Linked DNA regions of Canis lupus familiaris. The protein of the gene in region 1 purifies or fractionates together with the protein of each later gene. This does not show direct contact. Links are inferred from orthologs where the notes say so. Each region holds a gene or a part of one and is shown in the gene's direction. Other genes may lie near its edges.

Region 1 (2,747 bases):
GAAGAGCCATGTGAGACCAGCTGCATGGGCAAGACTCCTTGGGGTTCCTTACAGAAGTAATTCCATCTGTATCAGGTGCCTAACCTGTAAAATGAAACAGAATGTGCTTGCTTGCGTCAGGGGGCTTCAGGGGGCCCATGTAACCAGGAGGGCCTGGATAGGAACTATGTCCTATATCTTCTTGCCTCCCACCCCCAAGGATCCTAACACAGGTGCTTATAAATTTGCATTAAATTGTTACCTACAAAGGAGGTTATAGTGTCAGGGCTCAGGAGGGTGGGGCAGGAGATGGAGACAAGGTCTGTAACTGTTTGCCCCAGGACTGAGGCTTGGAACCTGAAGGAGCTGGACATTACCTCCCCGGGTCTGAGGAGTGTGTGCCTCGTGCCAGGGCTAAAGACGATGCTGAGGACGTATGGAGGTGAGACTAGCCCCAGGAGTGTGGGACTGGGGAATGAAGTGGGTGATGAGGGTGGAGAGTGAGTCCCTGGCAGGTCAGGGTAGGTGAGGCAGGGACAGAGAGGTGGTTCCCTCAAAGGTCAGGCCTGAAGGTTATTTTCTCCCACAGTGCGGCTCATGGTCACCCTCATCCTTACCCCCACCACAGGCCCAGGGCTCCTGCTTCCCCTTCCTCTCCCAGCCTGACCGTGGGCTTCTCTCTGCAGTACACATCACCCTGGATCCACACACAGCCAATCCATGGCTCATCCTTTCAGAGGATCGGAGACAAGTGAGGCTTGGAGACAGCCAGCAGGAAGTGCCTGAAAATGAAAGCAGATTTGACATGTATCCCATGGTCCTGGGAGCCCAGTGCTTTGACTCTGGAAAGGCTTACTGGGAGGTGGATGTGAGAGGAAAAGAGGCCTGGGACCTGGGTGTTTGTACAGATTCTGCACAGAGGAAGGGGCACTTTTTGCTCAGCCCTGGGAACGGCTTCTGGACAATTTGGCTGTGGAACAAACAAAAATATGAGGCTGGCACCTGTCCCCAGACTCCCCTCCACCTTCAGGTGCCTCCATGCCAAGTTGGGATCTTCTTGGACTGTGAGGCCCACACAGTCTCCTTCTACAACATCACTGACCATGGCTCCCTCATCTATACCTTCTCTGAATGTGCCTTTGCTGGACCTCTGCGGCCTTTCTTTGGTACTGGTTTTAATGATGCAGGAAGAAACGCAGCACCTCTTGTGCTCTGTCCGCTGGAGGTGGGATCGTAGGGATCCATGGAGCAGTGGTAGCACTCTCTGAACACCGACTGTTGGTGTCTTTCTCAGCCATTGACTCTGCCCCATTTCCCCAGGAACTCTGAACCACTTTGTTTCTGTAGAGGTGTCGGGATACCAGCAAGCAGATTGTGGCAGGGAATTCACTGAAAATCTACATAAAATGATTTTCAACATCAGTATTGAATGATTACTGCCCTAGATTACTGCCCTACATTACTTTGACTCCCTCCATGAAACAAACTACTTATGTTGGGCCCAAATCACCTGGATCAACCAAAACATGTCTCTGCCATCTTTATGTGACCCAAGTCTTGTTTTCTCCTCTCCATCTCTAGGCCTTTGGTAAGATCTCTTATACACCTTGCATGGCTTGCAAAGGGGACTCCTAAATGTATTGGGTCTTGATCTATCACATTCAATCCTTGTTCTTGTATACATTTAGGATTACTGTTCCAACATAAACATATCAGAGCATAAGTAGCTCCATACCTATTAAAAAAAAAAGAAAGCAGCCATCCTTTAAAAATAAAGCCTGAATGATGCATGCCTTAGATTTCCACATTACATTTCCAGCCCCTGTGCTCCCCCATCCCTACCATGCTCTCCCAACCATGTCCTGTAGATAATGGAGTTGGCCAAAAGGTGTATCAATCTAAATGGAAGGCAGGATGGATTTTTTTATGTCAGTTTGGCTAGGCCATAAGCCCCCAGTTTTTCAATGTTTCTGTGAAGGTATTTTGTAGATGTCATTAAAGTCCATAATTGTTTGATTTTAAGGGAGACTCTCCTGGATAAGGTGGGTAGGCCTAATCCAATCAAGTGAAAGACCTTAAGAGCAGAACTAAAAGTTCACTGAAGACGACCCTCCTACCAATAGCAGCTTCAGCTCCTGCCACAGTTACAGCCTGCCCTTCCTGTTGCCTGGCCCTGTGGATTTAGGACCTGCCTTGCCAAACGCCACAAGTGCATAAGCGAATTCCTTACAATAAATCTCTTCATATTTATCTCCTACCAGTTCTGCTTCTTTGGCAAACTGATTGGTGTGAATGTCAGAACTGCAGTAACAGTATCACCTGTTGATAGCAAACACTCTTGTGTTTAAGCTTTTACAGTTGGAAGAAGTGCTATACACAGCCCTGAGAGTACAGCTATCCTTCCAGCAACCAGAGTGTCTAAAATAGAATCTCAGGTGAAGAAGCTGGGAAGATGGCAGAGGAGGAAGACCCTAAGCTCACCTCATCCCATGGATACAACTAGATAACACCCACATCAGTGTAAATAACCCAGAAAATGACCCGAAGACTGGCAGAACAAACCACAAGTAAAGATAGAAAAGAGGCCACATTGACAAGGGTAGGGAAGGGTGGAAATATGTCCAGGAGCTAGATGGACCACGGACCACCTGCAGGAGTAAGGGATCTGCTGGAGCAGAGAAGGGCAAGAAGCAAACTATCACACCAGGGAACCTGCACAGGGAAGATCAATCCGCATAACCTTTGACTTCAATAACTAGAAGGGCTGA
Region 2 (3,515 bases), on another chromosome or scaffold:
AGTGTTGCAGGCACACAGCACCCCGGGGTGAAGGGCGAGCAGAGGCCTTCCCACTGCCCAGTCCTCACCCGGAGACCTTGGATGCCACTCCCCGGGTCCTGGCCAGGGTCCCCCCCTCCTTTCCCAGCCTGGACACTCAGCCTTTGTCTCCCTCTGTTTCCTTATCTTGGCCTGTCCTAGGGTAGGCTGCCCTTGGTGCTTGGGTGCTCATTGGTCATTGGGGCTTGCCAGACCCTACTGGTGACACCAGGGGCCAGGGGAGTATTCTGGGGACAATGCTGCCTTCTGTCCTCACCTCGGCTTTCTCTGGTCTCTCAGCCTGGCGCCCTACCGTCCCCTGGGCCCCGGGTTCCTTGTGACCCAGTTATCTGTCCTCAGCCCTACCTGGGCTGGCTGCCCTGCTGGGGCCCCTCCAGAGTGAAGCGGGGAAGGGGTCGCCCAGACCCAGGCTGGAGAGGCCGCGAGGTCTTACCGTCGCTTCCTGCAGGCATCAACCCAGCGTCACTCCGAGGGACACGCACCGGTGTCTGGGTGGGCGTGAGTGGCTCTGAGGCCTCAGAGGCCCTCAGCCGAGACCCCGAGACCCTCTTGGGCTACAGCATGGTGGGCTGCCAGCGCGCCATGATGGCCAACCGCCTCTCCTTCTTCTTTGATTTTAAAGGTGGGTACCCCCCAGCCCCTCTGGGCCTCTGGTTCCCCCAGGAAGGCTGGTCAAGGCCAAGGGGTCAGCGTCCCGGACTCGCAGTGGAGGGCCCCCCACTAGAGCCGCCAGGGCCCCACATTGTACTCCTGCTCGCAGGGCCCAGCGTCGCTCTAGACACGGCCTGCTCCTCCAGCCTGATGGCTCTGCACAGCGCCTACCAGGCCATCCGCAGCGGGGAGTGCCCGTGTGCCATCGTGGGTGGCATTAACATCCTGCTCAAGCCCAACACTTCTGTACAGTTCATGAAGCTGGGTATGCTGAGTCCAGAGGGCATCTGCAAGTCCTTCGATGAGGCTGGTGAGTGGTGGGCCAGGGGGACCAGGGGGGCCACGGCACCTGCCCTGCCGCCCCAGAGCCCCTGGGCCTGATGTGCCGTCTGCTCCCAGGAGCCGGCTACTGCCGGGCGGAGGCCGTGGTGGCCATGCTGCTGACCAAGAAGTCCCTGGCCCGGCGAGTGTACGCTACCATCCTGAATGCCGGCACCAACACGGATGGCTTCAAGGAACAAGGTGGGTGCCCCCCTCCCCTGGCCGGGCCAGCCGGGGTCGTGGCTTGGGGGCTGAGGTCTGGCTCCTCCCGCAGGTGTGACCTTCCCCTCCGGGGAGGTACAAGAGCAGCTCATCCGCTCCCTGTACGAGCCGGCGGGGCTGGCCCCGGAGTCCCTCGAGTACATCGAAGCCCACGGCACAGGCACCAAGGTGAGAGCCCGCCCCCGCCCCCACGCCCCCCGCCCAAGAGGCACCCGGGTGGGCCTTGATCCTCCCCTCGCCCTCCATAGGTGGGCGACCCCCAGGAGCTGAACAGCATCGACCGAGCCCTTTGCAGCACCCGCCGGGAGCCCCTGCTGATCGGGTCCACAAAGTCCAACATGGGGCACCCAGAGCCCGCCTCGGGGCTCGCGGCTCTGGCCAAGGTCAGCAGGCTGCTGTGGAGCCATCCTTCCTGGCAGGCGGGGAGGGTTCCCACGGGCTGTGCTGAGGCATGCCGGCCTCTGGTGCCCTGCGGGGCCCACACTCGGCCAGAGTGGGTGGCAGTGGCCACAACAGCCCCAGCAGGTGGCCGGGTCCTGGGGAGACCGTGCACTGGCAGCTTCTGGCTTCCTGGGGCTGCTGTAACCTGCTTGCAGTTCCTGCGAGAACCAGGACCTGGAGTGGGCTGCGGGGAGGCGGGGCGGTGTGGGGTGTGGTTTGGCCACTGGGTCCTGGGGCTGTGGCAGGGTGAGGCCGGGGGACGGAGTGCGTGGTGGCAGGCAGCAGGGTAGGGAGCACAGGGCCGGCTGCCCCGCCAACTGCGAGCCCCCCGCAGGTGCTGCTGTCTCTGGAACACGGGCTCTGGGCTCCCAACCTGCACTTCCACAGCCCGAACCCTGAGATCCTGGCACTCCAGGATGGGCGGCTACAGGTGGTGGACCGGCCCCGGCCGGTCCGCGGAGGCAACGTGGGCATCAACTCCTTCGGCTTTGGCGGCTCCAATGTGCACGTCGTCCTCCAGCCCAACACGCGGCCACCCAGGCCGACCACCCCACACATCACTTTGCCCCGTCTGCTGCGGGCCAGCGGGCGGACCCCAGAGGCCGTGCGGTGCCTGCTGGAAAAGGGCCAGCAGCACAGCCGGGACGTGGCCTTCGTGACCATGCTCAATGACATCGCGGCCAGCTCCCCCTCCGCCATGCCCTTCCGGGGCTACACTGTGCTGGGCAGCGAGGACGGCAGCCACGAGGTGCAGGAGGTGCAGCAGCTGCCTGCCGGCCGGCGTCCCCTCTGGTTCATCTGCTCTGGTGCGAACCCTGCTCCCCAGGCCCTCCCCGGAGGGGGAGCAGTGGCTGCAGCTGGCCGGCCACCACCCTGACACCTCTCTCTGCAACAGGGATGGGTGCACAGTGGCGCTGCATGGGGTCGAGCCTCTTGCGCCTGAGCAGCTTCCACAATTCCATCCTGCGCTCCAGTGAGGCCCTGAGGCCCCTGGGCCTACAGCTGTCTGAGCTGCTGCTGAGCACAGACGAGACCACTTTTGACGACATCGTCCATGCCTTCGTGAGCCTCACCGCCATCCAGGTGCGCCCATGGGGTCTAGGGGCTGTTGTGACAGTGCTGGGGGCCAGCCTGGCATCCCCAGAACAGGTGTGACCCATCACGTCCCCATTCCTCGCAGATTGCCCTCATAGACCTGCTGACCTCCATGGGCCTGCGACCCGACGGCATCATCGGGCACTCCCTGGGGGAGGTGGCCTGCGGCTACGCAGATGGCTGCCTTTCTCAGGAGGAGGCCGTCCTCACTGCCTACTGGAGGGGCCAGTGCATCAAGGAGGCCAGCATCCCACCAGGGGCCATGGCAGCCGTGGGTAGGTGTCCCCTCTGGGCCCCCCCTTTCCACACCTCCCACCAACCCAGGAGCCCTTGGGGTGGGGGTGTCATCTCTGGCGTTCCTCGTGTTCACCCTGGGCAGTGGCCGGGGGTCTCGGGGAGCTCCATCGGCCACCGTCCTCACTGCAGGGTGCCCGGTGGCCCCCCCGGCCCCTGCCCACTCAGCGGTCAGCATCAGTCCACACTGCTGCTCTTCCTACCAACTGGGCTAAAGCCATGTGGGGCATGAACAGCACCCCTCCCCGCACTAGAAGATGTAGGGTGTCGGGTGCACTGGCCCTGGCCCCCTTCCATTGGCACCTGCCCCCCAGGGGCTGCAGGAGAAGCAGTAGGCTAGGCCGGGGACAGGAGGGACACCTCCCAGAGCCACCACCCCAGGGACTGGTTGGGGTGGGCTGTCCTCACTGCAGCAGGACCCGGCTCCCCGCCTGTGGGACGACAGGGGAGAC
Region 3 (3,351 bases), on another chromosome or scaffold:
CCTTGAGGGCAGAGCTCAGATCTGACTCGTCTCTGGGTCCCAAGGCCTGGTCCACATGAAGTCTCCGGAAAAGGCTACAGAAATGCCCAGATCCTTTTCTTTTTGCTTCTCTCCAGGAAGACACATTAGAGGAGTTACTGGGTGACATGGTCTTGACCCCATTCCCAGATGAGGGGCCCTCGAGCCTGGTGGTGGTCCCAGAACAGACGCCTCCACTCTTGCTGAGCCCCACCATAGACCTCCCCGCTCCCTGCCCAAACTCAGAACCCCCTGAAAACCCGCTGAAGCGGCTCTTGGTGCCTGATGAAGGTGAGTGGCAGCTCTGGGGTGGGATGTGCTGGGGTGACAGGGCCCCTTATGCCCTCTCAATCTCACTCCCTCTTCATGTCACTTCTGCCACTGCCCAGAGTGGGAGTTCGAGGTGACTGCCTTCTATCGGGGCCGCCAAGTCTTCCAGCAGACAGTCTCCTGCCCAAGGGGCCTGCGGCTGGTGGCAGCAGCAGGAGGGGACACGATGCTGCCTGGACAGCCAATAATACTGCCAGACCCCGGGGTGTTGGTAACAGACAAGACCGTGATGGGCTACGTGAGGCGTGTACTGAGCTGCTTGGGTGGGGGACTAGCTCTGTGGAGGGCAGGACAGCAGCTCTGGGCACGGAGGCTGGGGCACTGCCACACATACTGGGCCCTGGGCGAGGAGCTTCTCCCTGACAGCAGTCCCAGGCCTGGCGGCGAGGTCCCCAAGGATGAAGATGGAGACCTGTTCGACCTGAGGCCCTTCGTGTCAGGTGAGGAGGCAAAGCCTTAGCTCTGCTGTAGAAAGAGGTGGTCACGGTGGTTAAGAACTCTGGGGTCTGGGAGTGCCTGGGTGGCTCAGTCGATGAACCATCTGACTCTTGATAGCAGCTTGGGTCATGACCTCAGGGTCACAAGATCAAGCCGAGTCTGGCTCTGCACTGGGTGTGGAGCCTGCTTAAGGTTCTCGCTCTCTGCCTCCCCCTGGTCCCCACTCTCCTTACATCCTCCTCTCTCTAAAAACAAAAAAATTTTCAAACCTCCAAACCCCAGAGTTCTTTTTTTTTTTTTTTAAAGATTTTATTTATTTATTCATGAGAGACACACAGAGAGAGGCAGAGACACAGGCAGAGGGAGAAGCAGGCTCCACGCAGGGAGCTTGATGCGGAACCCAGTCCCAGGACTTCAGGATCACACCCTAGGCTGAGGGCAGGCACTAAACCACTGAGCCACCCAGAGATCCCCCAAACCCCAGAGTTCTAATTCAGACCCTGCTGCTCTGCTTGTGCTATAACCTGAGGCAAGAGATGGACTGCTCTGAGTCTGTCAGAGGACTGTCTCCTCTGCTAGAGCTGGTAGGAGGCACAGGGCCCAGTGCACAGAAGGTGCTCAAGGAATTAACTGCCATCGTCCTCATTATTACCAGTTAGTAGGGTGGATAGACAGATGCAGGACAGAGAAGTCCTTTAGGGCTTTGTTATCCAGTAAATATCTCTGCAGGGATGGAAATGCTCTAGAGTTGAACTGTCCGGTGTGGTATCCACCAGCCACGTGTGGCTATTGAGTACTTAGGCCAATGCAACTGAGGAAGAGAGTTTGAACTTTTATTTGATTTTAATTAATTACCATTTAAATGGAAATAGCCACAGTGGCTAGTGGCCACTATCAGGAGATTGTGGCCTTAGGGGGTTAAAGAGCAGAAACTGCCAACTACCTTGTATTCCAGAATCAGGGGACATCCTTGTAGGGAGTGTACTCCTATCCCAAATGGTGGGGGGGGGGGGGGGGGGGCGGGGATGGGGGGAAACATTTAAGATTATGCCAGGACTTTTCTTAGATCAGCAGCCATCTGGTCGAGGTGTTGTAGGCATGTTGGGCTTCTGGTCAAGGAAGAAGGTGAGGCTGTTAGTCAAGTTTGGGGGCAGGGAGGGGCAGGTGGAGGGTCCTCTTCCCATGCCTGACTAGGATCTCGGACCCCCAGATCTGATTGCCTTCATCAAAGGAAGCCGACACTCACCACGCTACACCCTCTGGTTCTGTGTGGGGGAGCCATGGCCCCAAGACCAGCCGTGGACCAAGAAGCTGGTGATGCTCAAGGTGCAGCATTTCTGGGCTCCTGGAGCTAAGGGGTGGATCTTAACAAAGGGAAGAGAAACTACAATTCCTAGAAGCCCCTCTGGGAAACTACAACTTCCAAGAGTCTTTGCAACCACCAGTTCCTCATCCCCAGGAGCTTCTGGGTGTCCTTCTCATGGCCCCTCACCCCCAAAACCTGTTTTGAACTCTCAAAACCATGTGGAAGTCAGTGGAATACAAGTCCTAGCAGCCTTTTTAAGGAACTACAGCTCTTAAGGGGTCCTTCTGACCACAGCTGCTGAGTGGGATCCCTACATTCCAGGAACCCCTCCAGCATCTCAGCCCTAGTAAACTTACCAGGCCTCCCATGGTGGGAGTTACAGAGAAAACAATAATTCCCAGCAGCCCTAGGCCTAATGGTTATTCCTGGTTTATGGTGGGGGCTGCTGGAAGTTGTAGTCCACTCAACCCCACCTTATTTCTGCCCCCCACCTCCTGTAGGTTGTTCCCACGTGCCTTAGGGCCCTGCTGGAAATGGCACGGTTAGAGGGCGCTTCCTCCCTGGAGAACACTGTGGACCTGCACATTTCCAACAGCTACCCACTCACTCTCACCTCGGACCAGTACAAGGCGTACCTCCAGGACCTGGTTGAGGACATGGATTTCTGGGTCACTGGGGAGGTCTGACCCCTCCTCACCGGTGCTGCCTTCTTGTGCCTTCACCCTGGCCAATAAACTGTTTCTTGCCACTGTTACCACTTGTGTGCCTGGTGTTAGGGGTTAGCTAGGTCCAGGCTAGCCCTGATGTGGGCTAGGCATTATTCCTTGGCAAGCAACTCACAACCCAGATGCTTACAGCATGAGGACCAGACACTGCAGGGAGCCGCTGATACCTGTCACCTCCTGACCTCCTTCCAGGGACCTGGTGAGGAGGGGACAGTCACCTCCATTTTACAGACCAAGACACTGATGCTTAGAGAAGAGCAAAGGTTATAAAGCAAGACAGGAGACACAAGATGGGTTAGAATCCAGTCTGACTGCAGGGTTGCTACTTTCTGATCGGGGCCCCAGGGTAGAATCTAGAACCCCAGTTTTGGCTATGAACAGTTGAGGCCACTGATTGTTCAGTCCAGTAAGCTGGATCAGCCTGTTGGCTGGTGGGGGGGGGGGGGGACTTAGGCCCCCTCCCAGCTCCTGCTGGGTGACCTCAGGCAGGTCCTCCGGTCCCAGCCAGCTGTGGGCTCCCCTCTGCATGGGGCT
Region 4 (4,256 bases), on another chromosome or scaffold:
CTTCCTAAGTGCGGAGTGAGCTGGGGCCACAGGGCAGCGGGACCTGCGGGGCCGGAGGGACGCGCTCGCTGGGTCTCTGGGGCGGCCGCGAGCCCTGTCTGGGGCCGGTCCCCGCGCGGGGAGCTAGAGGGGATGCGCCCGGGTCCCGGCAGGTGGCTGCGGGCGCCCCTTCTCCCCGAGCAGAGGCGCTCCGGGCGCTCCACTCCCAAACTGTCTGCAGAACTTCACGGGAGACCACGAGCCTGGAACGAGAGCCGGCCGGGGCGTCTGTGTCTCCTTACACACCGCTCATGGTGCCCAACAGAGGGCCCAACGAAGCCCCGAGAGACGTGGACAGGACCGGGCTGGCGCGCCGCCGAGCCCCAGCAGAGCTTCGGGAAGCCGCGGGCGGGCGTGCGGGCGGGCGTGCAGGGGTCTGGCAAGCCGCCCCTCGGAGACGCCAGGGCAGCCCCACAGCGCGGCCGATCGGAGGCCGGATGGCAGCGGCGGTGACGCGCAGGATGTTGCACTGAGCCCCGAGCGGGGCGCAGACCTCCCAGGCTGCGGCGCGTCGGCAGCTACGGCCGGGAAGACCTCGGCGAGCGGGGCCCGCGGCCGGCCTGGGCCCCCGGCACTTGCCACCAGCAGCCGGCGGCGCAGACCCGTGTTCTCGGGCTCCGCGGCGGCTCTCACGTGCGACCTCTCCAGCGACCTTAGGAAGGTCCCCTCAACTGTCCCACCGGAGTGCTGACTAATGCTGAGAGCCAGCCAGTGCCCTTAGGCCGCCACATGGAAATTAGAAAAAAAAAAAAAAAAAGTTGCCCTAAGAGGAAGAAAAAAAACCCCAAGCAACGGGAACTTTCGCACTTGGTTTCCCTAGAGCCAAACGGTGCAGAAAAGGCGGGAGAGGGGGACTCAGGGGCTAGACCCAACAAGCGAGGGAAAGAAAGGACAGAGGACTGGAGCCCGGGGCCGGAGCGCCTCGGAACCGTCCCCGGAGGGCACGGCGGCCCTGGGGCTCGGTCTCCTTGGCGCAGTCCCACCCCCGCGTCAATCAGACCCTTCCCGCTTTGCGATTGGCCGGGGGCTCCCTTGGCCTCCCCGGCGCCCACCTCCTAGCTGCTTGGGGTTTACTTCCCCAAAGTACACGGGCCCCACCTTGTGGAGCAACCGCTCCTGCACGGACAACGGATCTCCGCCCAGGGGAAACACATCTTGACGAATGGGAGCGGCCCCACGCATTCATTGGCTGCTCTGGACATCACTCAAAGGACTCCCCGCCCTCCTTTCGACGTCCCGCGAAGTGATTGGCCGCCCTCCGTGCCAATCCGTTACTAGGGAAACGAGATCCTCAGAGTCTCATAGGCAGGAGTCAAAGCCAATCAAGAGCCACGCCTTCACCCCGAGTCAGTGCCCAATCGCTGCTCGAAGAGCGCAGAGGACGCAGTTGGGATTGGTCAGCCGGCTGCTCGACCTGGCCGCAGCAAGTTAGGCTGAGGCACGGTTATATAGACCGGCGACGGAGCACGCGTGTGTGCGGACGCAGTTGCGTGAGGGGATTTCGCCTTCCGCCGTGCCGTGGAGCAGAGCTTGTTCCTCTCCCTCTCAGCCGCGCAGGTACGCCCGGGTGTGGGTGTGGGCGGGGCGGGGCAGGGCGGCCCCGGGGCCGAGACGAGCCGGGGCGCCTGAGAGAGAAGTCCGGGCGGCGGCGGCGGCGGCGCGGTGGTGGTGGTGGCGGCGGTGGTGGCGGTGGTGGCCTCCGCGCGAGGCGTGCGCACCGCCCCCCCCAACGGCCGCAGGCGGGCGCCCGGGCGCGCGGAGTTTCCCCGCCCCCTCCGCGCCGCGCTCTCACCGGTCGGCGCGCGTGGCCGTGTCCGCGTCCGCCGCATGCGCGTGCCACGCCCAACGGTCGCGCGGGCCGGGAGCGAGCGGCGGCCGCCGCCCGGGCCCCAGGGCCGTGTCGGGAGCCCGGGGCCCCGCGCGGCCTGCTCGCCGGCCTCTCCCGCTGCCGCGCGCCCGCAGAGTCCCCGCCCCCCCCCCGCCCCCGCCCCGCTCCCGGCGAGGGGCTGCGGCCCGGGCCGGCCCGGGAGCGCGAGGAGGCTTGGGCTTGGGAAGCAGAAGTGCTGCTGCTCCCGGGTTTTACAGGGAGTGGAAGGGGGGAGCGGCGAAGGCGCGGAGGATGCGTGGAAGGAGTAACCGCTCTTTTTTCTGAGCCGGGCCCTGTGCTGAGCAACTTGGGTGGCTCTCCTGTACTCCACGGCGGTCCGGCGAGGTAGGTGCGGCGAGTTGCCTTTTTTGCAGTGGATCCGGACGTCCAGAGGCGGAGAGACGCGGTCCCCGGCGCGCCGACGGTAAGGGGCAGGCAGCGGGGGCCCCCGGGCCGCGTGACCGCCGGGCCCCCGGCCTGTTTGCGTCCTGGAGCCGGTGCCCTCGGAGGGAGCACTGGTCCCCGGGGAGGCCAGCGCGGCGGCATCTGTGCTGGGGCCGCTTGTGGGCTTGCAGGGAGGCGCGGCGACAAAGGACACGGAGGGCTTTGGGCTTGCGGTCCGCGTGTGAGCGCACGGCCAGCTGATGGATGCGCCGCCCGCGGAGCTTCCGGAGAAAGGCGGCGCGGAAGTGCCGGCGAGCGCGGCCCGGGCTCCTGCGCAGATTTGTTAACTCGCCCCGCGACGGTGGGAAATCCCCGGCGGCCGCGGGCGTCAGGCTCTGCGCTGACACCTTAGACCTTTTTCGTCTTTTCTTGACCGAGGCAGACTTTTGAGAAAGACCGTCCGTGAGATAGTTCAAAACTTGCTCGTTTTGTCGTTGGACAACATGCGGGGCCGAGCGGGGGGTTTGTTCAGATGGGTGGGTTGAAATGTGAAGTCGGGGTGGAAAGGACGGTGCCCGGCTACAATATGAATTAAGTCTCTGGAGCTTATGCTCGGTGAATTATGAGTGATTGAGGTGTGTTAGGAATCGTGCCCTTGGGGCTAAAGTCGGAATCTTCTGTGGGTGAAAGCCTCTCTACGTTCATTTCGTTTGTTTACCGTTTACTGTTCGGCTCCCGCGTGTAGTATATGCGAGTATGGAACACACCTTCAGAGGGGAGCTTATATATTTGCGATTTCTAAAAGCCATTATGCTCCCTGTCTTAATAAAATAGTTACAGGTCCAGACCATTACTTGACATCACAAACGTCTCTACTTGAGGTAAAACTAACAAAAGTTTGGGCATTGGCTCTAATGAATTAATTTTGCTTGGAATGGCTTTCAACCTCTTATTTGTTTTTGGTTTTGTTTTTGTTTTTTTAAATATGTATTTATGATAGTCACAGAGAGAGAGAGAGAGGCAGAGACACAGGCAGAGGGAGAAGCAGGCTCCATGCACTCCCTCTTATTTGTTTTTTAAAGCCTTTAGGATTAGACTTTGAATAAGAATTTTTTGCAGACAGAGGGAACTTTAGCATTTACATCCTCCTCAGCAAACTAAAACACTACAAGGAAGCTTAATATTTGTAAGTGTTTCCATTTACCCGTACTTTCCATGTTTCTTAACAGAAAGTAGCAATAAAGGATCAAAATATTGTATGGTCCAAGTTCTTAATGTTTAGTTGGTATTGCTTTAGACTGTAACATTGTTTTACTTAAAACGTGCCTTCATGTAGCAATTCTAGTTACCTTTATTTAGATGGTCTTAACTATTGAGTTAGCATTTTAGGTTTCAAATTTTAAAACATAATAACATACATTTAAACTGTTAACTTGGAGTCCAGCTAATGGTGTTAGTGCTCAGGGTAAAATAGATTAGGATGACATTTGCTTGTGCCTTAATTGAGGAAGAATTTTGTTTCCCTTTCAGATATTTCTTAGCCTGTTCTTTGCCTCGCCTCCGGCCTCCATTGGGTAGGAATATGAAAACTGGTAATTTACAAATTGGTAGCCCAGTGTCTCTCCATGTATGGATTTATTAAGAACAAATGAAGCAGATTGTAATAATATGAGAGTAGCGTGCCTTCCTTCTTCCCAGCCAAGTCAGGTTACTTCTGTTATTGCTAAATCCTTTCTGTTTAGGCTTTTGTATTTCTGATAGAAAAGTAGGCAGTTCTTTGTTCTTTATTTAACTCACATTAGGTTTGCTGTTCTCAGCTGACAGTCTGCTAAGAGTGCATCAGAAGATTTGGTAATGTTTGTTGCTGACCTATTTTGCAGTAGTTCTTGTAATTTTCATTATTTGACTTGTTATAGTACTTTGAATAGAAAGTAAAGGGTAGAGGTTAGTTTAAGCTTTTTTACCT
Region 5 (4,113 bases), on another chromosome or scaffold:
ACCAAGACCTTTTACAATCAGGATTATATCCCAGTGGTGAGACATAGTCGAGGTGGGGGATGTCTGAGAGCTGTAGGAAAGGGGGCAATTGGAATAGGTTTGGTTTTCTTTTTGCTGTGCTTAAAAATCTTCTGTGATCATTAAGAAGAGAGAGGGGTGGTCTAGGAGCTAGCTCAGGGTGAAAATCTTGCAGAAATATATCCATAAGCACAGATAAAGGCGAATCTTCTTTTCTTACATTTCCCCACCTCCATCCAACACGGAGCCTGGAATCTACTTAGTCGAAAGCGTTCCTGTAAGTTAGCAAGTGTCTGCATCAAATATTCCCTCCAAGCCAGTTTTATGAAAATATTTAGACCATGCAAACTGTTGGAAGAGAATGGAAAGCTGAATTTGCATGGGCATAATTACCTTGATGAAAAAATATTAAGCAAGAAGAGACCACAGCAGGAGATGCTGTAATTCAGACGTCAATCCCACTGTTTCAGGATACAGTTCCGCTCTATTTTCTTATTTTGGGAGTGATAATGCTGAATGACCTATCTTGTCTCAGTTGAGATAGATTTCCTGCTACTTGGGCACTCTTCATTGGCAGAGGTTGGTAGATCAATTCCGAGAACTGTGTGATTGCAAAGCTGGAAAGCCAATTCATCAGGCTATAGTGTCACTGACTGATTAAGTGTATTAACTGGAAGATGACTTCATTTTAGCCCTATTGAATCTTAAAAAGAAGAGTCTGGAATGAGTTAATGTCAGAAAATATCTCCATGGTCTTTTTCATAAACTGTCAATATCTTCTAAGCATTGGTAAACTAAGAAAATAATCACAGGTAGTAATAAAGGTTCTATTTAGGAATGGGCCAACCTGCAAAGGCTATTGATTTCAGGGTCCTTTTCAATAAGGTTAATCGCTAGTGAGAAATACAGAAGTAGGTGCTGGTTGGACAAGCTTATCACTTTTTATGAGAAGTGGAAGACTTAGTTTTATCCTGTTAGAACAAGTTGCATGAGCCTTGAGGAAGCATTTTGTTTTTGTATTCACAAATCAGTCTCCCCAGGTTCTGTTTACACAGAGCAGGATGGCTACTTCTGTAGTCCATCCGAAACTAAGACAAACCATTTCCCAGCTTTAATTTGCCCAATCATAAGATAGGAATTGCATCTATTTGCAAAAATTACTCTAATATCCTCAGATGCAATGGTCCAAGAAATAGAGATTAGTATAATGAATCACTGCGCTTCGGGGGAAAGGAAGCCTCTTCATCAATACTATTTGTTGTACTTTTTTCCCCAGCTTCCTTCAAAATGTCTACTGTTCACGAAATTCTCTGCAAGCTCAGCTTGGAGGGTGATGTAAGTATATCATTTTCACTTTGTGTAATTTTTGCAAATTAGACATCTCTCTGGATAACTGTGCTACTCTCTTTCCTTGTACATCTAAGGACAACGAGGACAACATTTAGACAATCATTCCCCCCCCTGCATTCCCCTTTTCTTCCCCATTATTTTTGCTGTTGCTAGTAGTTCAATTTGACAGATACGTGATGGCTCTAGAAGCTTTTCTGGCATCACATTAAAATTGGACAGGCATTAGTGACACTGGAGTTTTATCCTGCTATATACTTAGCGTGTCAGTGGTAGTAAGTGTCATGATGATACATGAGTTTTAATGTCATGCCCTGGCATTTTAGTGATGATTGGCATAAGCTACAGCCATGTCAAAAATGATCCTTATGTTTTGGGCTTCTTACAGTGATCAGGAAGTTATTCTAGATTAGGACTTAGACCTTTGTTGTTTTTAATTTAGCACCTGGGAAATCTTTTCTTCAGAAGAACTAGAGAACTAGGATTTTTTTGTGTGTGTTTGGTTTTTGGTTGTGTTTTGTTTTCTTTTTAGCTAAATAAGAAAGTATTCTAATTTATCATGTTTCCTTTTATTGCTTTGGCTATTAGGGAGCTCAGAATTATATCTAATTGTCTTTCACAGGAAATATGTGGACCTGGAAATTCTGATGCATCTGCTTTTTTTTACAGTTAAAAATTTTTTTAAATTATATGTGAAATTATACATAATTGCAAGTACTTTTAGAATCAAGTAGAATTTATGATATGAATAGGTGTAAATATCTAATAATACCATACATCTTTCAGATCATCTTGGCAGAAATGGCTTTTACAAGTAATACTGGTTTGTAGGTATATCATGCCAATACCTCGAAATATGCTCTCACTGAAATCAAAATACATTGAAACACTCAAACATCTGTTGACAGCAGTTTGTATTGGGTAGTACAGAACCCTCTGTATTATCTCTGGTGCTTGCCATCAAATGTTCAGATAGATGATGTCTATGCAAATACAGATTGTATGGAGTAGAGAGCCTATATATTTTTCTTATTTCTTTGAGGAACTTGTACGCACTGTTGTCCAACAAGTCCAAGAGCTAAATGATTTTTTTTTGTAATGAATCTGATTGTTAGATTGTTTTTAGTATCAGATTTCAGAAAAGGACTTTTTGTGTAGTCTTTGAAGTTACTTTAGTATGATTTATTTCTCTGTGTGGAGAAATAGGACTGCAATAGAAAATTTCATATATTCCCCCATATTTTAGAGGAAGAAAAAAGTCACTTTTCCTCAGTAATTTGATTTTCAGACAAGTGGATTTTACAGCTAATAGGTTCAATTAACTATTTATTGTTGTTTCTAGAAATTAAAAAAAATATGCAAAACTTTCAGTACTTGCTGTTTTTGGAATAAGATGACATAGCACCTAGGAAATGAAGCCATATGTGATATGGCCCAATGGCCAGATTGCCTGCCTTTGCAAATAATTGCTGGTACTGTTAATAAATAGGGAAATGTTTTTCTTAGATTTCCATCCACATTTTGTAGGCACCATAAAACATATAGTATTTCAGAATAGCCCTTTGTCCATACCTTTTCCTGAATGTATGTTCCATTTCCATTGATTTAATCTTACTGGAAAGTTCAGTAAAACTAGAAAATACTTTAATAATCCAGTTTCAGAGTTATAAATATTAACTGGATTCATTATTTGGCCAAGGCCAAGATGGTCACAAGTACATTTTGAAATTCTTTGTGTAGTCCTGAACTTAGATTTCTGGTTTATCCCGGGAAACATTTGAGAGGATGTCACCTTAGTTACTTACCTGTATAACCTGCTCATAAAACCAAATGAAATGAATGCTGGGATGCCTCATAATGTGTTGCCCGTGGGTGGAGAGGTAAGTCAGGGCACCTCAGGCTATGAGTCTTCCCAGAAACTGAACTGAGGCAAAGTCATCACATTACAATGGGCATTATGTACTTGGGGGAGGTTGTGGGGATGGAGGAGTCTTGGTGTTGAAGGTGGATAGTTCCACTGACAACCTAAACCATGTTGTCCATCTTCTTTGGCCTGCCTTTGCTGTGGGACTGGGTAGCAGGGAGGAGGAAAGCTGCAAGAGCTCTAAAGGAAGGAGAGAAGTTAACACTTGGGAAAGAAGAACTTGGGATGTAGACACATGACTGTCCTTACCTTAGTCTGGGGTGGTGGGGTGGGATGGAAGTGGGTCCATCAGATCAGACAGGGTCACTGGGCTTTGAAAAGCATTAGAAAAGGAAGAGAGTATGGTTTAAAAGGTAATTTTTAAAAAAGAAGAAATAGGAAGAGTGGTAGGCATAGGGTTAAAAGCATAACAGCAGAGGGACAGGAACAGAGGAGAGAGAGAGGAGTAGGAACTTCGTGAACACAAAGAGGATGTGGGCCAGGAAGCCTGACCACCTTGGTGTGGTGGCTTCCCTCTCACTTATCTGATAGTCTGAAACAAGCAGTCCAGCATTTTACATTTGCATTTTTTTTACATTTGCATTTTAAAGAATTGTGAGCTCAGCGATACGGGTCCAGTGGAAATTCAGATGCCTGTAGCAAAAACTTGGCTAAACACACTTGTCATTCAGGCATTTCCACATATTTTCAGCTTGTAGCAAATTGTTGCTGGCCCAATTTAAGGTTTTTTCAGAGCCATCCCAGATAAATGGTGGTTGCAAGTGCCCAGCCTTGGGTTGTCTGCTTTTGAGCTTACACTAGAAGTAGGGTAAGTGAAAGTACAG

Evidence for each region.
Region 2: the proteins of TRIM21 (region 1) and FASN purify together in Homo sapiens (affinity purification with western blotting; 3 studies listed by BioGRID, with this or other methods). This does not show direct contact. The link is inferred for Canis lupus familiaris from reciprocal best matches to the Homo sapiens genes TRIM21 and FASN.
Region 3: the proteins of TRIM21 (region 1) and IRF3 purify together in Homo sapiens (affinity purification with western blotting; 3 studies listed by BioGRID, with this or other methods). This does not show direct contact. The link is inferred for Canis lupus familiaris from reciprocal best matches to the Homo sapiens genes TRIM21 and IRF3.
Region 4: the proteins of TRIM21 (region 1) and G3BP1 purify together in Homo sapiens (affinity purification with mass spectrometry; 3 studies listed by BioGRID, with this or other methods). This does not show direct contact. The link is inferred for Canis lupus familiaris from reciprocal best matches to the Homo sapiens genes TRIM21 and G3BP1.
Region 5: the proteins of TRIM21 (region 1) and ANXA2 purify together in Homo sapiens (affinity purification with western blotting; 3 studies listed by BioGRID, with this or other methods). This does not show direct contact. The link is inferred for Canis lupus familiaris from reciprocal best matches to the Homo sapiens genes TRIM21 and ANXA2.

Annotation. Positions count from the first base shown.
Region 1 is NC_049242.1:26,901,281-26,904,027, reverse strand, and holds the end of TRIM21 (E3 ubiquitin-protein ligase TRIM21), read left to right. Parts: intron 1-320; coding exon 321-421; intron 422-665; coding exon 666-1,216; 3' UTR 1,217-2,234; downstream 2,235-2,747. UniProt on the Homo sapiens protein: E3 ubiquitin-protein ligase whose activity is dependent on E2 enzymes, UBE2D1, UBE2D2, UBE2E1 and UBE2E2.
Region 2 is NC_049230.1:1,059,696-1,063,210, forward strand, and holds part of FASN (fatty acid synthase), read left to right. Parts: exon of another isoform or gene 1-487; coding exon 488-661; exon of another isoform or gene 662-712; intron 713-799; coding exon 800-1,000; intron 1,001-1,089; coding exon 1,090-1,212; intron 1,213-1,285; coding exon 1,286-1,401; intron 1,402-1,481; coding exon 1,482-1,616; intron 1,617-2,008; coding exon 2,009-2,480; intron 2,481-2,569; coding exon 2,570-2,757; intron 2,758-2,854; coding exon 2,855-3,044; intron 3,045-3,515. UniProt on the Homo sapiens protein: Fatty acid synthetase is a multifunctional enzyme that catalyzes the de novo biosynthesis of long-chain saturated fatty acids starting from acetyl-CoA and malonyl-CoA in the presence of NADPH.
Region 3 is NC_049222.1:107,553,113-107,556,463, forward strand, and holds the end of IRF3 (interferon regulatory factor 3), read left to right. Parts: intron 1-116; coding exon 117-309; intron 310-407; coding exon 408-788; intron 789-1,996; coding exon 1,997-2,112; intron 2,113-2,592; coding exon 2,593-2,778; 3' UTR 2,779-2,846; downstream 2,847-3,351.
Region 4 is NC_049225.1:58,443,095-58,447,350, reverse strand, and holds the start of G3BP1 (ras GTPase-activating protein-binding protein 1), read left to right. Parts: upstream 1-1,441; 5' UTR 1,442-1,596; intron 1,597-2,099; exon of another isoform or gene 2,100-2,251; intron 2,252-2,307; exon of another isoform or gene 2,308-2,330; intron 2,331-4,256. UniProt on the Homo sapiens protein: Protein involved in various processes, such as stress granule formation and innate immunity. Plays an essential role in stress granule formation.
Region 5 is NC_049251.1:25,617,995-25,622,107, reverse strand, and holds the start of ANXA2 (annexin A2), read left to right. Parts: upstream 1-1,305; coding exon 1,306-1,353; intron 1,354-4,113. UniProt on the Homo sapiens protein: Calcium-regulated membrane-binding protein whose affinity for calcium is greatly enhanced by anionic phospholipids. It binds two calcium ions with high affinity. May be involved in heat-stress response.